Linked DNA regions of Xenopus tropicalis. The protein of the gene in region 3 purifies or fractionates together with the protein of the main gene of each other region. This does not show direct contact. Links are inferred from orthologs where the notes say so. Each region holds a gene or a part of one and is shown on either strand. Other genes may lie near its edges.

What was found.
Region 1: the proteins of e2f6 (region 3) and mga purify together in Homo sapiens (affinity purification with mass spectrometry; 3 studies listed by BioGRID and IntAct, counting the BioPlex papers as one, with this or other methods). This does not show direct contact. The link is inferred for Xenopus tropicalis from reciprocal best matches to the Homo sapiens genes E2F6 and MGA.
Region 2: the proteins of e2f6 (region 3) and max purify together in Homo sapiens (affinity purification with mass spectrometry; 5 studies listed by BioGRID and IntAct, with this or other methods). This does not show direct contact. The link is inferred for Xenopus tropicalis from reciprocal best matches to the Homo sapiens genes E2F6 and MAX.
Region 4: the proteins of e2f6 (region 3) and yaf2 purify together in Homo sapiens (affinity purification with mass spectrometry; 4 studies listed by BioGRID and IntAct, counting the BioPlex papers as one, with this or other methods). This does not show direct contact. The link is inferred for Xenopus tropicalis from reciprocal best matches to the Homo sapiens genes E2F6 and YAF2.
Region 5: the proteins of e2f6 (region 3) and l3mbtl2 purify together in Homo sapiens (affinity purification with mass spectrometry; 5 studies listed by BioGRID and IntAct, counting the BioPlex papers as one, with this or other methods). This does not show direct contact. The link is inferred for Xenopus tropicalis from reciprocal best matches to the Homo sapiens genes E2F6 and L3MBTL2.

The regions. Positions count from the first base shown.
Region 1 is NC_030684.2:105,140,305-105,143,824, reverse strand, and holds part of mga (MAX gene-associated protein), read left to right. Parts: coding exon 1-139; intron 140-1,044; coding exon 1,045-1,656; intron 1,657-2,858; coding exon 2,859-3,155; intron 3,156-3,520. UniProt on the Homo sapiens protein: Functions as a dual-specificity transcription factor, regulating the expression of both MAX-network and T-box family target genes. Functions as a repressor or an activator.
Region 2 is NC_030684.2:119,967,661-119,969,988, forward strand, and holds part of max (protein max), read left to right. Parts: intron 1-817; coding exon 818-941; intron 942-1,919; coding exon 1,920-2,035; 3' UTR 2,036-2,328. UniProt on the Homo sapiens protein: Transcription regulator. Forms a sequence-specific DNA-binding protein complex with MYC or MAD which recognizes the core sequence 5'-CAC[GA]TG-3'. The MYC:MAX complex is a transcriptional activator, whereas the MAD:MAX complex is a repressor.
Region 3 is NC_030681.2:138,935,301-138,939,259, reverse strand, and holds the start of e2f6 (transcription factor E2F6), read left to right. Parts: upstream 1-1,145; 5' UTR 1,146-1,283; coding exon 1,284-1,367; intron 1,368-2,962; coding exon 2,963-3,008; intron 3,009-3,959. UniProt on the Homo sapiens protein: Inhibitor of E2F-dependent transcription. Binds DNA cooperatively with DP proteins through the E2 recognition site, 5'-TTTC[CG]CGC-3'. Has a preference for the 5'-TTTCCCGC-3' E2F recognition site.
Region 4 is NC_030679.2:64,862,371-64,866,443, forward strand, and holds the start of yaf2 (YY1-associated factor 2), read left to right. Parts: upstream 1-1,265; 5' UTR 1,266-1,360; coding exon 1,361-1,386; intron 1,387-1,557; coding exon 1,558-1,683; intron 1,684-4,073. UniProt on the Homo sapiens protein: Binds to MYC and inhibits MYC-mediated transactivation. Also binds to MYCN and enhances MYCN-dependent transcriptional activation. Increases calpain 2-mediated proteolysis of YY1 in vitro.
Region 5 is NC_030680.2:115,987,149-115,990,502, forward strand, and holds the end of l3mbtl2 (lethal(3)malignant brain tumor-like protein 2), read right to left. Parts: intron 2,822-3,354; coding exon of another isoform or gene 2,800-2,821; coding exon 2,650-2,799; intron 2,341-2,649; coding exon 2,231-2,340; 3' UTR 505-2,230; downstream 1-504. UniProt on the Homo sapiens protein: Putative Polycomb group (PcG) protein. PcG proteins maintain the transcriptionally repressive state of genes, probably via a modification of chromatin, rendering it heritably changed in its expressibility.

The DNA.
Region 1 (3,520 bases), on a different chromosome or scaffold from region 3:
AGCCTTTCTAAACTGAATGAAGTAAAAGTCAATGCCCTATCAAAAGATGAAAAAACAGCTTCCAGTAGTGTTGAAGGGAAGTTTAAAGAAAACATTGCAGCAACTCTGAATGTTAAACAACCCACACCAAGAAATATTGGTATGTATGTGTTTCGAAAAAGTTCTCTCAACATTGTTGTTCTGAAATGTTTACCTCTGCCCATTGTCATAGCAATTACCTTTTTACCTTGGGAATTTATAAAAGCTAAGAAGGCTCATTTACTAGCATAGGTCCCATAGCAACCAATTGGCATTTAGTTGGGGCTACTACCAGTTAGAAAATAAAAACAAAGATCTGATTTACTTGCTATATAAATAGCACTGGCCTAGGTAGTTGTATATTCCTTACAAATTAATCTTTGAATGGGATGCAGGTTTTCGTTCAGTACAGTGGTGCTTGAAAGTTTGTGAACCCTTTACAATTTTATATATTTTTACATGAATGAGACCTAAAACATCATCTGATTTTCCTATTGAAAAAAAAAATGATCCAATAACATATCTGTGAATGGTGCTCTCATTATTTGCTGTGACCCCCTTGTGCAGCAGAAACTGCAACTAAATGTTTGTGGTAACTGTTGAACAGTCCTTAGCCCATTCCTCCATTCAGAACAGCTTCAGCTCTTGGATGTTGGTGGGTTCTGATATTTGCTAAAATCTGGAAATCCAATAATCCAATAATTTTAATCAAAAAATAAAATTTTTAAAAATGATTTCCATTTTCTCTGTAGTAATAAAACAGTACCTTGTACTTGACCCCAGCTAAGATATAATTAATCCTTATTGGAGGCAAAACAATCCTATCAGGTTTATGTTATTTTGAAATGATTTTTTAGCTTAAGGTATGGAGATCCAAATTACTAAAAGACTCCTTATCCAGAAAAGCCCAGGTCCCACGCATTCTGGATAACAGGTGCCATACCTGTACAATTGTATGGTTGTTAAAGTATTTTCTGCCACATTACCATTGCGGTTTCAGCTATTTTGATCTGTTTTACTTTGCAGTTCCACAACCTGCCCTCAGTACCACATTGACTCAGTTAATTTTAAATGAAGTTGGAACTCTTCAGCAGAAAACCTCAGAAATAAACTCATCTGGGACACAGAAGATTGCCCATGAGACTTCTCCATCACTGCTAGTTGTTACATCAATGGCCTCAGGAAAGCAAGCTTCAGCTATCTGCACTAATCCTTCTACAATTAATTTAACAAATCTGGCTGGCGTAGGCACAGTATCACCATCACGAGATAAAGCCTTACCTTCAATGCCAACTCTTATAAGTGTTACTAAACTATTACCAAAGGACACTCCTGTCTCTGTTCCCCCAGGGCTAGTAGTAGCTGCCTCAGGTGGAAGTACTCAGACTGCAAGTGTAACATCCTTTACGAGACCGAAAGAGTCACTTGCACCTCTTCCATCTTTAATTGCTTCACCCTTAGTAAAAACTTTGCCCTCTTCTACTTTAACTACATCCACAGTTAGTCTCTCTGGTACTTCCACAAGCATTGCTCCTCAGCTGGCACCAAAACTGGCACCTACATCAACTGTAAGGACTCTTGGATCAGTCTCTTCCCTGGCTGGTACTAATGCTATGCCTACACTAACTCTAAAACCAGGTATGGATATATCCAAAAAAGTTCTAATAGAGCTAAAGTTTTTAATTAAATATGGGGCACTAAACTAAGACTCAGTTATTAAACAATAACAATGTTGAAATTGAAAGTTTTGTGAGTATAATTATAATCTCAATCTAGGGAAACATTAATCAAGAGAAACCATGAAACTTTCACTTGTTATAGTCTCAGTAAGTCAAAAAGAAGGTATTGTGATTGTTTAAAAATGAGGGCATAGTGAAATGAGTGCATATTTTCAATGAATGGAAATTGCCATATTACACAGTTTAGAGGAGGGATATGTTATAGAAATACACAGAAGCACCACATTTGTACAGTGTGATGATTAGTCTAGTGTGGATGCTTCTTCCAAAGGCAAGGAATATGGCAGTTGCCAAGGATTTGTAAAGGTTATTCCATACCATTGGGCTAATGGAGTTCAGCTTTCACTTTTCCATCCAGGTTTTTAGTAACATGTGTCAGTGCTGTGCATGGCAAATGGCTGTTCAAATGGTTACTGGCAGCACTCCATTATAAAGTTAAAAAGCCTTTATTATCACAACAGGGGCAACAACAACGTTCTGAGCCTAATTAGCTCTTTATCAATGGCTGTGACAAATGGGCAGTACTGCTGTGTTAAGTGATATTCTTCTAAACTTGCTGTTTAATTTGTAGTACTGAATTCATGGGGATAAAATGCCCTAAATTGCAAGGATCTTTAGATTGAAACGGTCTTCTCATTTTTATAGCCTTGTGGTGTAGTTAAGTCAGTAACTAAGGTTAATCATGATACTATATGATGTGTAACACAATCCAGCTCATATCCATCAGTGTATAGAAAAGTAGCCATCATTGCCTGACTAGCACGCTCCAGACCAGGTCAGCAACACTACCCTGCTTGACTGATATCTAGTCAAGGAGTCTGAAAATCATGTCAGGCAAGGACCACAGGGGGTGTTAATTACATTTTTTAATATGGAGACCTGTACAATAAGGTTTGAAAATAGGTTCATTAATAATTACAGTATCCCAGTAATTTGTTTGACAAACCAGTAACTGATGAAGATTTGCAAACTTCATGAAGGGAAGTATCATTAAACTGAAGGGTGCCAGAATGTGGATGTATTCATAGAATACTGTAGAGATGGAATGTGTGTGTGTTTTAACTACCTTTTTTTGATAATTGTCTTTTGTCCCTTTTAAAGCTGTACCCCAGACCCCTGGTCAAGTTCCAAGACCATCAGTTTTGCCTACTGGATTAGAAAACCGACTGGGACCTCGACTCCTACTTATTCCAGTTCAGTCTGGCTCCACGCCTGTCCGTCCAGTGCAGCCAATGCCACAAACCCCAGGACAAAAGATGATTTTGCAGCCTATCCGAAGCCCTGGAAAGCTTAATTTATTCAGACATCCTAACGGACAGATTATCCAACTTGTCCCTTTGCAACAAGTTCGTGCCACTAATGTACAGCCAAGCAGTCAGTCACTTGTCCGTAATCCAGGTATCAGTAAAGTCACATTTAAAGGGGTGCTATTATGACACCAAACATTTAATATTAGTTTTATCCCATGGAAAAAAGAAACTTCTAAATCAAATTAATTTAAAATTCTGTACCACTTCTGATATTATTATCCCCATCTCTGACGTCTATCTTTTTACATGCACGAGTGAGTAGTTTTAGTTTTTTGGTGGGCAGTTAGCTGCAATAAATAAATGGTCTGTGCTCTCTTTGAGTATTAGAGCTGTTTTTCCCTACAAAAAAAAAGACTATAACACAAAGTATAAAACAAACTCTGACGGTGATTGTGAATTGATTGGCTATTTCTGTTATGCTGATGCTGATAGATACTAGTTGCCAAGCAAATA
Region 2 (2,328 bases), on a different chromosome or scaffold from region 3:
GATACTGACACTAAAAAACTACTTTTCAAAATATATTCATATTTACATGTACATTATAAGTGTCTGTGACTCCAATAAAGTTCATTTTTAATCAAGAATTCTGTCTGAAGATTTGCTCAGTGAGTGCCTGCTCTTCAAAAAATAGTTGGTTCAATGTCACCAACAAAATTAAAGGGATTTTTTGGGGGTGCAGCTGCCCAAATTCCCAGTATGTATTCTAAGTTTTAGAAAGTGTGAGTTTTTTGTGCTCCCAGGAGGTCTGGTCATGTTATATGCCCTTTCTGCTCTGCATAGTAGGCACAGTCTAATAACCCATTAGCCATAGGATCAAAATAAAGATTTGCAGATCACTGGAAAATGTTTGTGAAATATTGCACTTATTTTATACTTCCTTTCACAATACAGGTATAGGATCCTTTATCCAGAAACCCATAATCTATAATAATTGTATATAACATGCCTAACAAATAGGTATAAAGTAGGTGCTAATAATTGCCTCCTTTTTATTGTTTGGCAGTATCAGTTCTAACTAACACCCAGCATCCTCCAACCACAAAACTGATCCCTGGTGTTGTAGTTCTGCAACAACTGAAGCAGTAAAGGAATGTCATAAAAAAAGTGTCTGTGTATTGTAAGTTGCAGTGAAATGATCTGTACAGTATTAGCAAAAAATGAGCTGCTGTACTGCTTAGTAAATAAACCAGCATATAACCTACACTAACATTTTTTTTTTTTTTTTTTTTATGGTGGTGGAATACAAGGCCTTTGGCTTACTTGCATTAACTAGTTGTTCAATAACCTTTCATTTCTGGTACAGGCATCGAGGGCCCAAATACTGGACAAAGCTACAGAGTACATTCAGTACATGAGGAGGAAAAATCACACACACCAGCAAGATATCGATGACTTAAAGCGACAGAACGCTTTATTAGAACAACAAGGTAAATGAGATTTATTTTAGGGTTACATAGAACATACAAAGCAGCCATTGTTTATTTGTTCAACCATGTACAAAGTCCCAAGCCATATACTGGACCAGTTTGTCATTTGAATATATATATGAGCAAAAGTAAACAAACAGCAGAGCCCGGAAGCAAAAAAACTGTGCGTATGTCGCATTCCCTAGCCTCTGTGTTTACTTCAGACCTCCTTGGCTACCATTAGGTAACGGCTCAGCCTTAAGCTGGCCATATTCTCACCGATAATATCGCATGAAACCTTGTTTTCATACGACATTCGGGGCGTGTATGGCTGCTCAAAGAGGTTACCGATATTGCAGAAGGCTGCGGATATCGGTCGACTTGTTGATCGGGCAGGTTAAAAGATTTGGATTGGGCGCCATTGAAGGCGCCCGAGAAGAACTACGTTCAGGGCTAATCGCCAGGTAGAGGTAGAATTTCTATTGTTTCTACCTCCATACCTGAACGTCAGTGGAGGGTGGGAACGATCTTTCATGGGACAAATGGTCGCGCAAAAGATCAGAATCGCTACGTGTATGGCCACCTTTTATTGAGGGCACCTAATTTGGGTTCCATTCATATGCTAAGAGAAGTGTAGTTTATACATCACAACTCATTTTGCAACCCTAGGGAGCAGTGGAGACTTGGGCAGGCAGTGACTTTGGTGATGGGCTAAAGGGAGGCAAAAAGGCATTTGCTGTAAAGTAAATAAAGTAAAAGGGAACTAAATCCCCCTTCACAGCCCTGCTCACTCCCCAAACTTATTGGTCCAACTGCAAAAATGTCATGTATTCCCCCCTATACCTGGTGGTAAAGGTGTATTACATCTTAGCAACTGATGTTCCCTTGACATGACCTGCTAATTGGTTTTTGACTGGTTTAAAGGCAATGAATGGATAACTAATGTAAGAAACGTATAGCAGAGTGACCCTAATGATTTGTCTGTTCCCCCCACTGTAGTTCGTGCACTGGAAAAAGCAAAATCCAGCTCTCAGCTGCAGTCCAATTACTCAAGCTCTGAGTCGGAAACTGAAGAACCCCAAAGCAGAAAGAAACTACGGATGGACGCGAGCTAGACTGGCCACAGCAATAAAACCAGCAGCCTGTACCAAGCTTCACTTCGGCCCCATATTAGCCCCTCATTAGCCCCGTCCAGCTCTTTTACAGACTTTTTTTTTTTCTTTTGGCCTCATCCTAATATTGTTATGCTCTTGGACTGCATTTTTTTTAATGAATTTGGTCCCTTCACTGTCTTCTGATTCATTAGTTTATTTTCTCCCCATTACTGTTATTTAAATATAAAGTACCATCCATGTTTAAAATGGATCGGATTTGAAAAAAGTTGGAAAAAAAAACGCCCGTCTATGTT
Region 3 (3,959 bases):
CTCAAAGTGCAACAATATCTGGCCCTTGCTCTCTAAAGCTGGCCATACTCGCACCGATACTATTGTACGAAACCTCGTTTCGTACGATATTCGGTGCGTGTATGGCATGTAGGCAAGTCGACTGATATCGCAGGAAGCTGCTGATATCGGTCAACTCGCCGATCGGCCAGGTTAGAAAATTTTGATAGGGTGCCATAGAAGGCGCCTGACCAAAATCTGCCGTCAGGGCTGAATCGGCAGAAGGAGGTAGAAATCCTATTGTTTCTACCTCCTTATCTGCTGTTTCAGCCCTGAACGGTGTGTGGCGGATCTGACGATGTTTCGTGCGACCATGTGGCCACCTTTAAGCTGCCCATTACAGGCTGATTAAATGTACACACTGCAGCCCACCAAACCAGACACCTTGAACGACCAATATCTGGCTTATGGAGTTCGACAACAGGGTTGTGTCTTTTTAAACAAACCCTAAACATACATGTATATAGAACAGCCCTGTCTGGATTCTATTGACCTACATGGGTTTGTGTCACTTGTACACATTGTCTCAGGACAATCATTTTATAGCTCGCAGTTAAAACCACTCACTGGGGATATTTAGCAAAGAGAAGCGAGTAAAGAAAAAGGACTGGAAGGTACTGAAATGCTTCTGTGCAATTAGTCTTCTTTTAAAAATCAGCAACACAGCTATGAACATAAACAGGCCCAGACTACTCCCCCCAGCAGCCCAATAAATAGTAACATGGCACCTTACAGCAGCCCCTCTGGCATTTGCCAGAACCCACAGATTGCCAGTCTGGGCCCAAGCAAAGACACGCTGGTTAATCCTGGGCAGAACAACACCGACCCAGTAGCCCACAGGTACCACTGATTAGTTTTTATGCAGTTACAGCAAAAGCAGCAACCTGATTGGCTGCCCTGGATTACTGTGCAAGTTTCCCCAGAGTTGCTACATAAGCCTCACAGCTCCGTCCCCCATAATATCAGTTAGCAGCTAAGGAGCAGCTATTAAGTAGCAGGACTGAGCAGTTTCATTCCCCCTTAGACTTCAGTCACCGCATGAAGCAACACCAGGCGCCAACCCGAGCTCGCTACGCCTTAAACCCTCGCCCACAAGTGCTGATAGGCTGACTCGCCATGACGACATGATTGCGCGACGCAGAACCCTCGCCCACAAGCGCTGATAGGCTGACTCGCCGTGACGACATGATTGCGCGCCGCAGAGCATGTCAGGTGACTGTCCCACGGTTCTGCGTGTGTGAGAATTCCCGCGGGTTCCTGGTAACATGTCTTCCCCGTCGCCGGAGCTTTTCAGCCCACTTCCCGCGGCCACAACGAGTGACTTGGTTGAAGCAGAGGAAGTAGTGAAGGTGAGAGCCGTGCACCTTCCCTCGCTGGTGTGTTCTGTGTTCCCAGCATGCACAGCGGTGTTATACAGCCGCAGGGATATAATCATTTATTAACTTGTGATGTCACTTGTGTATGTTATACATCTGTTGTGTTTCATTTAGCCTTAGCTACACAGTCTGCTGCTTCGCTCTCACAGTTGGCAGGGCTGCTGCTATACATGCCCCAGTGGGCCCTTAGGGGAGGCTCCTGTTACCATTGTCACCTACCTATAGTATATTCCCCAGGGATGTACCATTGTCACCTACCTATAGTATATTCCCCAGGGATGTACCATTGTCACCTACCTATAGTATATTCCCCAGGGATGTACCATTGTCACCTACCTATAGTATATTCCCCAGGGATGTACCATTGTCACCTACCTATAGTATATTCCCCAGGGATGTACCATTGTCACCTACCTATAGTATATTCCCCAGGGATGTACCATTGTCACCTACCTATAGTATATTCCCCAGGGATGTACCATTGTCACCTACCTATAGTATATTCCCCAGGGATGTACCATTGTCACCTACCTATAGTATATTCCCCAGGGATGTACCATTGTCACCTACCTATAGTATATTCCCCAGGGATGTACCATTGTCACCTACCTATAGTATATTCCCCAGGGATGTACCATTGTCACCTACCTATAGTATATTCCCCAGGGATGTACCATTGTCACCTACCTATAGTATATTCCCCAGGGATGTACCATTGTCACCTACCTATAGTATATTCCCCAGGAATGTACCATTGTCACCTACCTATAGTATATTCCCCAGGGATGTACCATTGTCACCTACCTATAGTATATTCCCCAGGGATGTACCATTGTCACCTACCTATAGTATATTCCCCAGGGATGTACATCCTGCAGTCCTATAGCTCTTGTTCAGCTGTTTTGCCTTTACTCATAGTTTGTTAGAGTCGTTCTGAGTGTTGTAATTCAGCAAGAACCTAATGGTTGCAGCTAAAATTACTTGTAATTCCCTTTACCTGCTATTAAAACACACACTTAGAGAATGTGAAGTCCATTTTTTTCTTCCATGCATTTAACCTGTACGTTAACTTTTAGCATGTTGAATGGCATATTCTCAGCAACATTTCATTTCATTTGGTCTTCTTTTTTTTTTTTTTTATAGAGTTATTTTCTTTCCCCTTCTGCTCTCAGCTCTCAAATGGGGGTCACTGACCCCTGCAGCTGAAAATCATTTGCTTTCAGTCCCCCTGTGATTCATATTTAAGCCACTGACTGGTTGCTATGGTAAAACTACCCTAGCAACTAGATAGTGGTTGAAATTCCAAGCTAGAAAGCTGCTAAACATATATTCAAAACACTCAAACACTTTACCCAGGATCACACAGTTCTAATAAATCAAGAGGTGCTGTTTTTTTCGGGTGTTAGATGTTTGCTAGGACTGTTCATGCAATCGTGAACAATGTGGTATTTTGCCTTGTGTGTAGTGATACAGTGAAACCAGGAATTACCCTTGCCTTACTATAATGCACAGCAAGCAGTGCAGGATACAGGCCCAAAGAAAGCTTAATTCTTTGTGTTCTTTTGCAGATGAAAACAGAAATTCAGCATGAAGAAATTAAGATACCGACTAAAAGTATGTTCATTTTACTCTTTTCCCACAACAATATGTTCCACCGGGATATCTGTGGCTTTTGCATTATTGCTTCTAAATATATAATACGCAAGAGAATATCACAAGAGTATCCTGTAAATGATATCCTTATAAACAGTGCTTAGTGATGTCATCAGTTATAAATGGTTCTTAGTGATGTAACTCACTGAAACTTGTGTATTATAATAAGCGATTACATTTTTCTAGAATCTTTCTTTGCGGGCTGTTCACATTTTTATAATCACTGCAAACGTGCTTATTTTGGCAGCTGTGACACATAGACAGTCCATCTTTTGCTAACAAGTGACGGTCTCTCCTCTCATTTGTCCTAATAGCAGCTCAGTAAGCCTGGGTGCCACCTCTAAAGGTTTGATATTTAATGGAGACCTAAAGAAAGGCTCTTTATAGCAATAATGCTCCCAGTCTTTAAGGTTATGTACAGGAGCTCTCCATCTTGTATTTTTTTTTTTTTTTTTTTAGAAGTGTCGCTGCACATGCTCAGTAAGGTCTGGGCAGCTGTTGAAAAGCTAAGCTTAGGGGCTGTAGCAAATTATCAAGCAGAAAATGAGGCTGGCCGGTTATAGAAGCTGATGCTACAGGGCTGATTCATTGTTGTTGCCGTGTAATCTGAATCTAAATCAATAACTAATCAGCTTTGTATTGTGACATTTATAAGTTGCCCAACTTTGGAGGCACAGATCTTCCCTGCTAAAGGGCTGTTGTTGCCTTTGGCTAGATAGAGAGAAACACAAGGAAAATAATAATCACATCTAACTTAGGTTATTTGAATGTTTCCTTTGGAACTCTGTCTGGTCAGGCACATTCTCAGTAATAAGCAGAGACATTGAAAAATGCATTTAATTAGTTAACTGTAAATAATGAATCCAATGAGCTGATACTTGCTGAACTTGGGTACCTTCCACTGGTTTTTCT
Region 4 (4,073 bases), on a different chromosome or scaffold from region 3:
ATTACAGTTATTAAAGTGATGGTATTTTACAAAATATATAATCTGACAAAATCACTTTTACTTTCCATTCTGTACTCCCAAATCAATGCCAATTCCAATGTCAATGCCCTCCTCACATTTTCCCTTTCAAATAACTGTCTATAATTGTGTCTGTGCATTGGCATCAGGTCCCCAATTCTGGCACATACACAAGATTTTAAAGGTGATACAAAGTTTCCCTTAATAAAAATGTCCACAAAATTGTGCCTGTGCTTGTGACTGTAAATTGTAAGAATGAATGAAAGAAAATGTAAAGTTTATTTTGCTCAAATAAGACAAAAGAATTTGGAATTATTTCTTAAGGTGACAGGTCCCCTATTAAGACCTTACCATTATTCCTTTTCTCATTATTATTCTGATGTCTCCCAAAACATTTTAAGTTCTTTTTAGCAATGTTGTATAATGTCCCTTGAAAGCATATATTTATTTTTCTGTTATTAGGCACATATCATAATTATGATTTTACCTTTAGTTCCTTCCCCCTGTAATAAGTTTATAGCTATTGAGCATTGTATAAACAACCCCCACCCATAATCAAATAGCTACAGTTTCTGTGAGGCTTTCTGATTGGGGGACTAGTGATTTAAAGCTGCATTTTTCTCTTTTACTGACTTATTCACCACCCTCACCAGATGCTTAGGAGAACCACAGGAAGTTGTAAAGTGAAACTGCTTTTAGTTTAGTTATTGCCCTATTGTGTAATACATGGCAACAATATCGCTTAATTAAAACAACTGGGAAAAGTATGTTGAGTACAAGCCCCGTTGAATGCGTCTGTGTTAAACATGCGGATACACAACTCCTCTAAGTTTGCTGTTTAGCTGAGAGGCCCGGCTGCCTTAGCCTTGCATTGCTTTGGCTCAGTATTCTTTAACTCCATTACTGAGGTAGAGACAGAAGAAGAGCCACGGTCCTTTCAGCTACAGTCGTTTGTGTTGATTATGAGACAACCAGCGGTGTTTGCCAGCGCTTCCTCCATCACACGCTACGTGCGCCTACATTTGCCCTGCGCATTTCCTTGTATCCCCGGGCAGATTTCCTTTATGCTCGGACTTTTTCATGTGCGCTTTCTTTTCCATAGTAATGCCGACCATAAGGCAGCCCCTTACGGCCTCTTCTCCGCACATACATCAAGCAAAGTCGCTTTAGTTTTCCAAGCGGCTCTGGTATTGCTTTGTCGGCCTGTTATTGGTCGCGCCAGGTCACGTGTTGCGGTGGACAGCTGGCTGCGGTTGATCGCGGTCGGTGTAGGCGCCCACTCCCGCCTCATAGCCCGGGCTCTCTCCCCGCTCGGCCTGCGCTCAGCTTCCTCTGAAGCAGCATGGGAGACAAGAAGAGTCCGACCAGGTAAGAGCACGGCTAAAGCAAAAAAGGAAGTAGAAGCTGGTGAGAGGCTGCGAGGATTGCCTAGGCAATCTCCTTTTCACTGTGTTAGAAGCGCCCGAGGCCGGGGCTAGGGGAACAGGCCGCCTTGTCAGCGTGTATGCCCTTGTCTCTAACAATTTCCTCTTCCCCCAGGCCGAAGAGGCAGCCGAAGCCTTCATCAGACGAAGGATACTGGGACTGTAGCGTGTGCACTTTTAAGAACAGCGCCGAGGCCTTCAAGTGCCTGATGTGCGATGTACGCAAGGGAACCTCTACCCGGTGAGCGAGCCCGCCACACAATAACAGCACAGCCTCCTCACTTACTGACATTGTCTTCTTAGCCAGTCCCCACAATACCGCACTTGCCTCACAATTCTCACAATACCGCACTTGCCTCACATGCCGCACTTCCTATCCTGTAGTAACATTGCTGCTGCTGCTACACAATAACAACACATCCGTTTGTCTGAAACAAACAAGCACACCTTCTGCACGGAACATAAACACACAGCTCGGATGTGAACACATTGCAAGCAAAACACCAGCGCACAAATGGTTAACGAATCCCTGCAAGTATAGTAATTGTGATATATTACAGAATCACTTTAGTTCTCCTGTAATTGTGACATATTACAGGAGAACTAAAGTCATTCAAATGGCTATGCTGTTACCCCTGCCCCTACCCCTGTCTTTGGAAAACGCACTGGACTGCAGAGTGTGTAGTCCCAATCCTCTGTGCCAATTATGTTGGGTGCATATACAGTACAGTAATCACCCCTTTCCAGGGAGCTGCAGCGGATGCTGGGAAACAGGCAAGAAAATGGAGGCAACTGTCAAGTAGTCTGGGACAGTGTGCTTTCTAATGAAGACAAACACCAGTGCAGGGCAGCAGGTTAGAGATTAAAATTATATTTTTACTTTAGTTCTCCAGCAAAGACAAAAATATTTAGTGAAACGGCAACAAGATGCTTTTCCTACATAACACCACATAATAAAAAACAGCATCACTTTCAGTTGTCCTGACACAAGGAAAACTATACCTTCAGAATAATATGATGAAAAGTATTTGTTGGGTATTTAAGTGGCCTATTTAAGAATATTTCCAATCTGGAGCATATATATCAGTAAATATTACCCCTTTTACCTTAAGCTGCCGTTTTGTGATGGTCTGTGTGCTCCCTCAGAGATCACCTGGCCAAAAATATTGCATCTCTAACTTTAACAGGAAGTAGTGTGGTAGTAAAAGACAGAACTTCTGTTAATTGGCTGGTATGATGTATGTGTGCCCCATGAATCATGAAAATCATATAATCTGGTGTGGTGGTAGCCCTTAGTACTTAAAATTCCAGTTTTCTATTTTGGAATGACACATACTACTAAAAAAGGTTATTTTTCTAAAAATGGTTTATTTAGATAAAGTAGAGTTTTATATGTTAGCTGTTTTTTTTAATAAATATATAAGAAGTCCTCACGACAGCACCTCACTCCAAAATGCAATTAGATAGCCACCCTTGTGCACAGAATACAAAATAAAACACAACCAGCACCAAGGGTCTTATAGTTCAAACAATCTCAAGTGTATTGCATGTATAACCAACGTTTCAGTCCCTTTTCGGACTTTTTTCGAAAGTGTCTGTTATACATGCAATACACTTGAGATTGTTTGAACTATAAGACCCTTGGTGCTGGTTGTGTTTAAGTTTATTTATATATCCAAAAAAGACCAGCAACACCGAGTTATATTCCAAAAACAATTGTGTATTAAAAACGCATAAACAGCCACAATTGATTGATTTTGGAATATAACTCGGTGCTGCTGGTCTTTTTTGGATATTTAAATCATTTACCTTGCACCGGAGCTAAGAGCTGAAGCAGAGTGCCACCCTGGGTTCACTATATATATATATATATATATATATATATATATATATATAATCTCTTAGGTTTTTTTTTTTTTAAAGAGACCTACATTGTTCTGGGGTATGCTTTTCCTTTAAAGGAACAGTAACACCAAAAAATGAATAAAAGTAGCCAAAATATAATGTGCTGCTGCCCTGCACTGGTAAAAGTTGTGTGTTTACTTCAGAAAGTCTACTATAATTTATATAAATAAGCTGCTATGTAGCCATGGGGGCAGCCATTCAAAGGAGAAAAGGCACCAGCACATAGCAGATAACAGATAAGTTCTGTAGAATACAATAGTGTTTTATCTGTTATCTGCTATGTAACCTGTGCCTTTTTTCCAGCTTGAATGGCTGCCCCCGTGGCTACACAGCAGCTTACTATATAAATTATAGTAGTGTTACTGTAGCAAACACACCAGTTTTACCAGTGCAGGGCAACAGTGCATTATATTTTTATTACTTTAAAGCTCTTGCATTTTTTGGTGTTACTGTTCCTTTAAGCCAGAGGTATCTCCCCTGTGGCTAGGGCTGTTATCTGATGGTAAAAATAGACTTTGTCAAAAGGCAAAATATCCCTTTTGGCAAAAGGGATATTAAGGAAAGGGCAGTTACATTTATTGGTTTCTCAGAAAAAGGTGTCCTTATTGTTGAAATGCATCTGATAGTTTTAAACTTTTAAATTAAGCTCCATTGTTTCAGTGTCAGTGCCTATACACTGGCTGACCTACCAACTGCCCCATTATTTAGTTTGGCTATCCGCTTGCT
Region 5 (3,354 bases), on a different chromosome or scaffold from region 3:
ACGCTAGCACTATTAAAAACAAAGTTTGACAGCTTCTGAGATGGTTTTTTGAAAAATGGAAGTGTTTAGAAAATAGTCTGTGGAATTAAGCTGAAACCCAAAAATATAATTTGCCATGGGCCACTCTGGAACAAACCGTCTTAGACAGGAACATGAGCAAGATAAAGTGGGACAGTTTATGTAGGAGAACGGGGATATGGGCCCAGGCCTGTCTGGCAATCTGTGGGTTCTGGCAAATGCCAGAGGGACTGCTGTAAAAGACCATTGGCAATCACTATTTATTGGGCTGTTTGGGCCTCTGTGTATTGGAAATGTCAGGGCCTATTCTGACTCCCAGTCCAGACCAGTATGGGACCAGCCAAACCTAATTTGAATTGAAATTACTTTTTAACACAAACCCTTTCAAATAAGTGGGGAAAAATAATTGTTTTTATCTGAAAAAAAACATTTTTTTTCAATTCAATACAGCCTTTTGTGTTAAAATAAAGTCACATATTACAAGGATTTTTTTTCTTTTTACAAAAAAGAAGTTTATTTACAAAAATAAAGTATTTATGCCAGATATTACAAATTACTTTAACTGACAAAATATATCTTAAAAGTGTGTATGCTTTTGAAGGGCAAACAAAGGCTTTAACAAATCTGTGTATAAAAGTTGTTTACTTGCAAGCACAATGTCCCATGTAGAGCAGAACTATGCAAGTAAAGTTCCCCCTTCACGTCCCACCTCACTGGTAGGGCACTCAGCAACTCTTCATGTATCACAGATTATGCAGTTGTGAACAGCTGGATCAGGAGATGGCTGGTATCCAACCGCTGATCCCAGTTACCACTACCCACAATAAATGTTTTGCAGTAAACCTGCTGAGGCTTTTTTTCCTATTTTTTGGATTTCTACAATTGTATTTGGTTGCAGCACAGAGCAACAACTAGAAGCTAAAGCTTTTTTTCGTAAATATTTTATACAAAGTTCACCAATCATTTTTTAATTTTATAATACAGCCACCAGGTGGGCACCAGCTAGAGCAGTGATCCTCAACCAATGGCTTGTGAGCAACATTGCTCGCATATTGCTCACCACCCCCTTGTGTTGCTCCCAGTGGCCTCAAAATAGGTACCCATTTTTAAATCTCTGGCTTGGAGACAAGTTTTGGAAGTATAGAGATGCAGTTTTACTCCAAGTAGAGCCTCCTGCAGGTCAGCAGTCCTTATGGGGCTACCAAATAACCCCTTTTTTAATGCTTGTGTGGCTCACAACACTTTTTACATCTGCGTGTGGGTCACAACTAAAAAATGTTTGGGGATCCCTGATTGAGATGGTAAAGTAACCTCAAGGGTGGGTAACACAGAGGGCAATCTCTGTAACTGCATAAAGTTGCAGTACATGGCATTTGGTACAGGTGTCCAGTCTAAGTAAACAGCCCTGCACACATTTGATAGGTACTCTTAATAGAAGAGCAGCTATGAAATCAAAGGCAATTTCTGACATAATGAGAGAAAAAAAAACTTATATAAAGGGCTAAGAGAAAAACACAACTGCAGCATATTTGCCTTTCACATGGATGTGCCAGCATTTTGTGAATGAATAGAGATTCAAGTTACTTATCTTAAAGATTTTAAATTGAATAATCCCTATACAGTGGATAAAAGAATGCTGCAACTGGATATCAGACCCCTCTTCATCCTCTGCAGGTATTTCATCAACATATATTGCTCAACAATTGACCAAAACAAACAAAAATACCCCCACTGTATATACATAATAATATTTACATAAATACACATCTTTTTATGAAAACCCCCAGGGGCCCTATTTACAAAGAGTAGACAAGCACTGGCCGCAAAGGGATTCTGTCACGGAAAAACATGATTTTTGCAAAATGCATCAGCGTTGCTCCAGCAGAGTCCTGTACCACAATCTGTTTTTCAATTTCATTTTGAAATTTGACATTAGGCTAAAATGCCACTGTTGAATCCATCATCTACAGTCCCCAACCTTTCAAAACCAGTTGATAGAGGATGATTTCATATAAAGGTCACATGGGCCAAAATACATACATACATACATACATACATGCCAATAAGCATTCTTCAAAGCAATTAACACTAACCAACTGTTCTTAATGCTGCCTATGGTCACTTTCATTCTGTTTACAAAAAAGCACAAGCTGGCCTTCTTGGATTTGCTTATTACATGAACAGCTATATTATTGTTACATGTAAAGCTGCTTCATAGTTCCACCTCCTCTTCTTCTTTAATTTCCTTTTTCATGTCCTGGTTCTTTACTTGTTCGAGTTCACAAACCTCCATCTCTTCTTCCTTTATTTGCACTGCGATAACTGCAAGACATGATACAATGAGTAAAATGCTCTGTGTAGCAATGCACCACAAGATTTAAAAGAATGAGAATAACTGTTGGTATACTAATAGGCAGTAAAAGTATATTCTTCTAATGTGCAAAAATAAGAGCACTATAGAGTTGTTATCACTTTAATATACCAATTTGCCACAGTCTTGCTCCAATAATTGTGTGTACTTTGTTAGATAAAGATTTCAATTTTGCCATAGCAGGGATTTCTCACAACTCTTCACTAAACGTTCCATGCTGTATGGTTCCCCCAACCCAGACACCCTCCAATTCCACTTACTCTCGCCTTCTTCAGACTTTGGGTTGCACATATTCTCTCTGCTGCTGCTGCTATCTTCCATCTCAAGGTCAGCTGGCACAAGATCCACAGAATTCTTGCCAGCACTTGTGGAAGGCACCACTTCCATGACATGCTTATTTGCTGGATCATCTTAAAGTGAAATGTAAAAACACTGTGAAAGAATAATAATAATAAGACTAGAAAGAAGGTAAGAATGCACCAAAGGATGAACTAGAAGAACTAAAATAACCTAAACTTATAAAGGAATTCTGTCATGATTTTTATGGTGTACTTTGTATTACTAAATTACACTGTTTATATTGCAAGCAATTCACTCTACCATATAACATTTTAATGTTAAACCATTAAATGCATTTTTTTAGTTGTAATATTGTGCCTGAGTCTGCGCTATCAGAAAGAGCCAGCACTTCACAACAGAACTGCTTGCTGATAACCTATTGTTTCCCCTACTCCAGTGCTGTCCAACTGGCGGCCCCCCTCTGTGTGGCCCCCCACCTGTCTGGCCAGCATTGTGTCACTGTAGGCTGCCTGTGTGTGCCATACACACAAGCATCATAGAGCAAGCAGAGTATGGCACACACAGGCAGGGTAGGGAAGGCAGAGTATGGCACACACAGGCCGAGTATGGCACACACAGGCCGAGTATGGCACACACAGGCCGAGTATGGCACACACAGGCCGAGT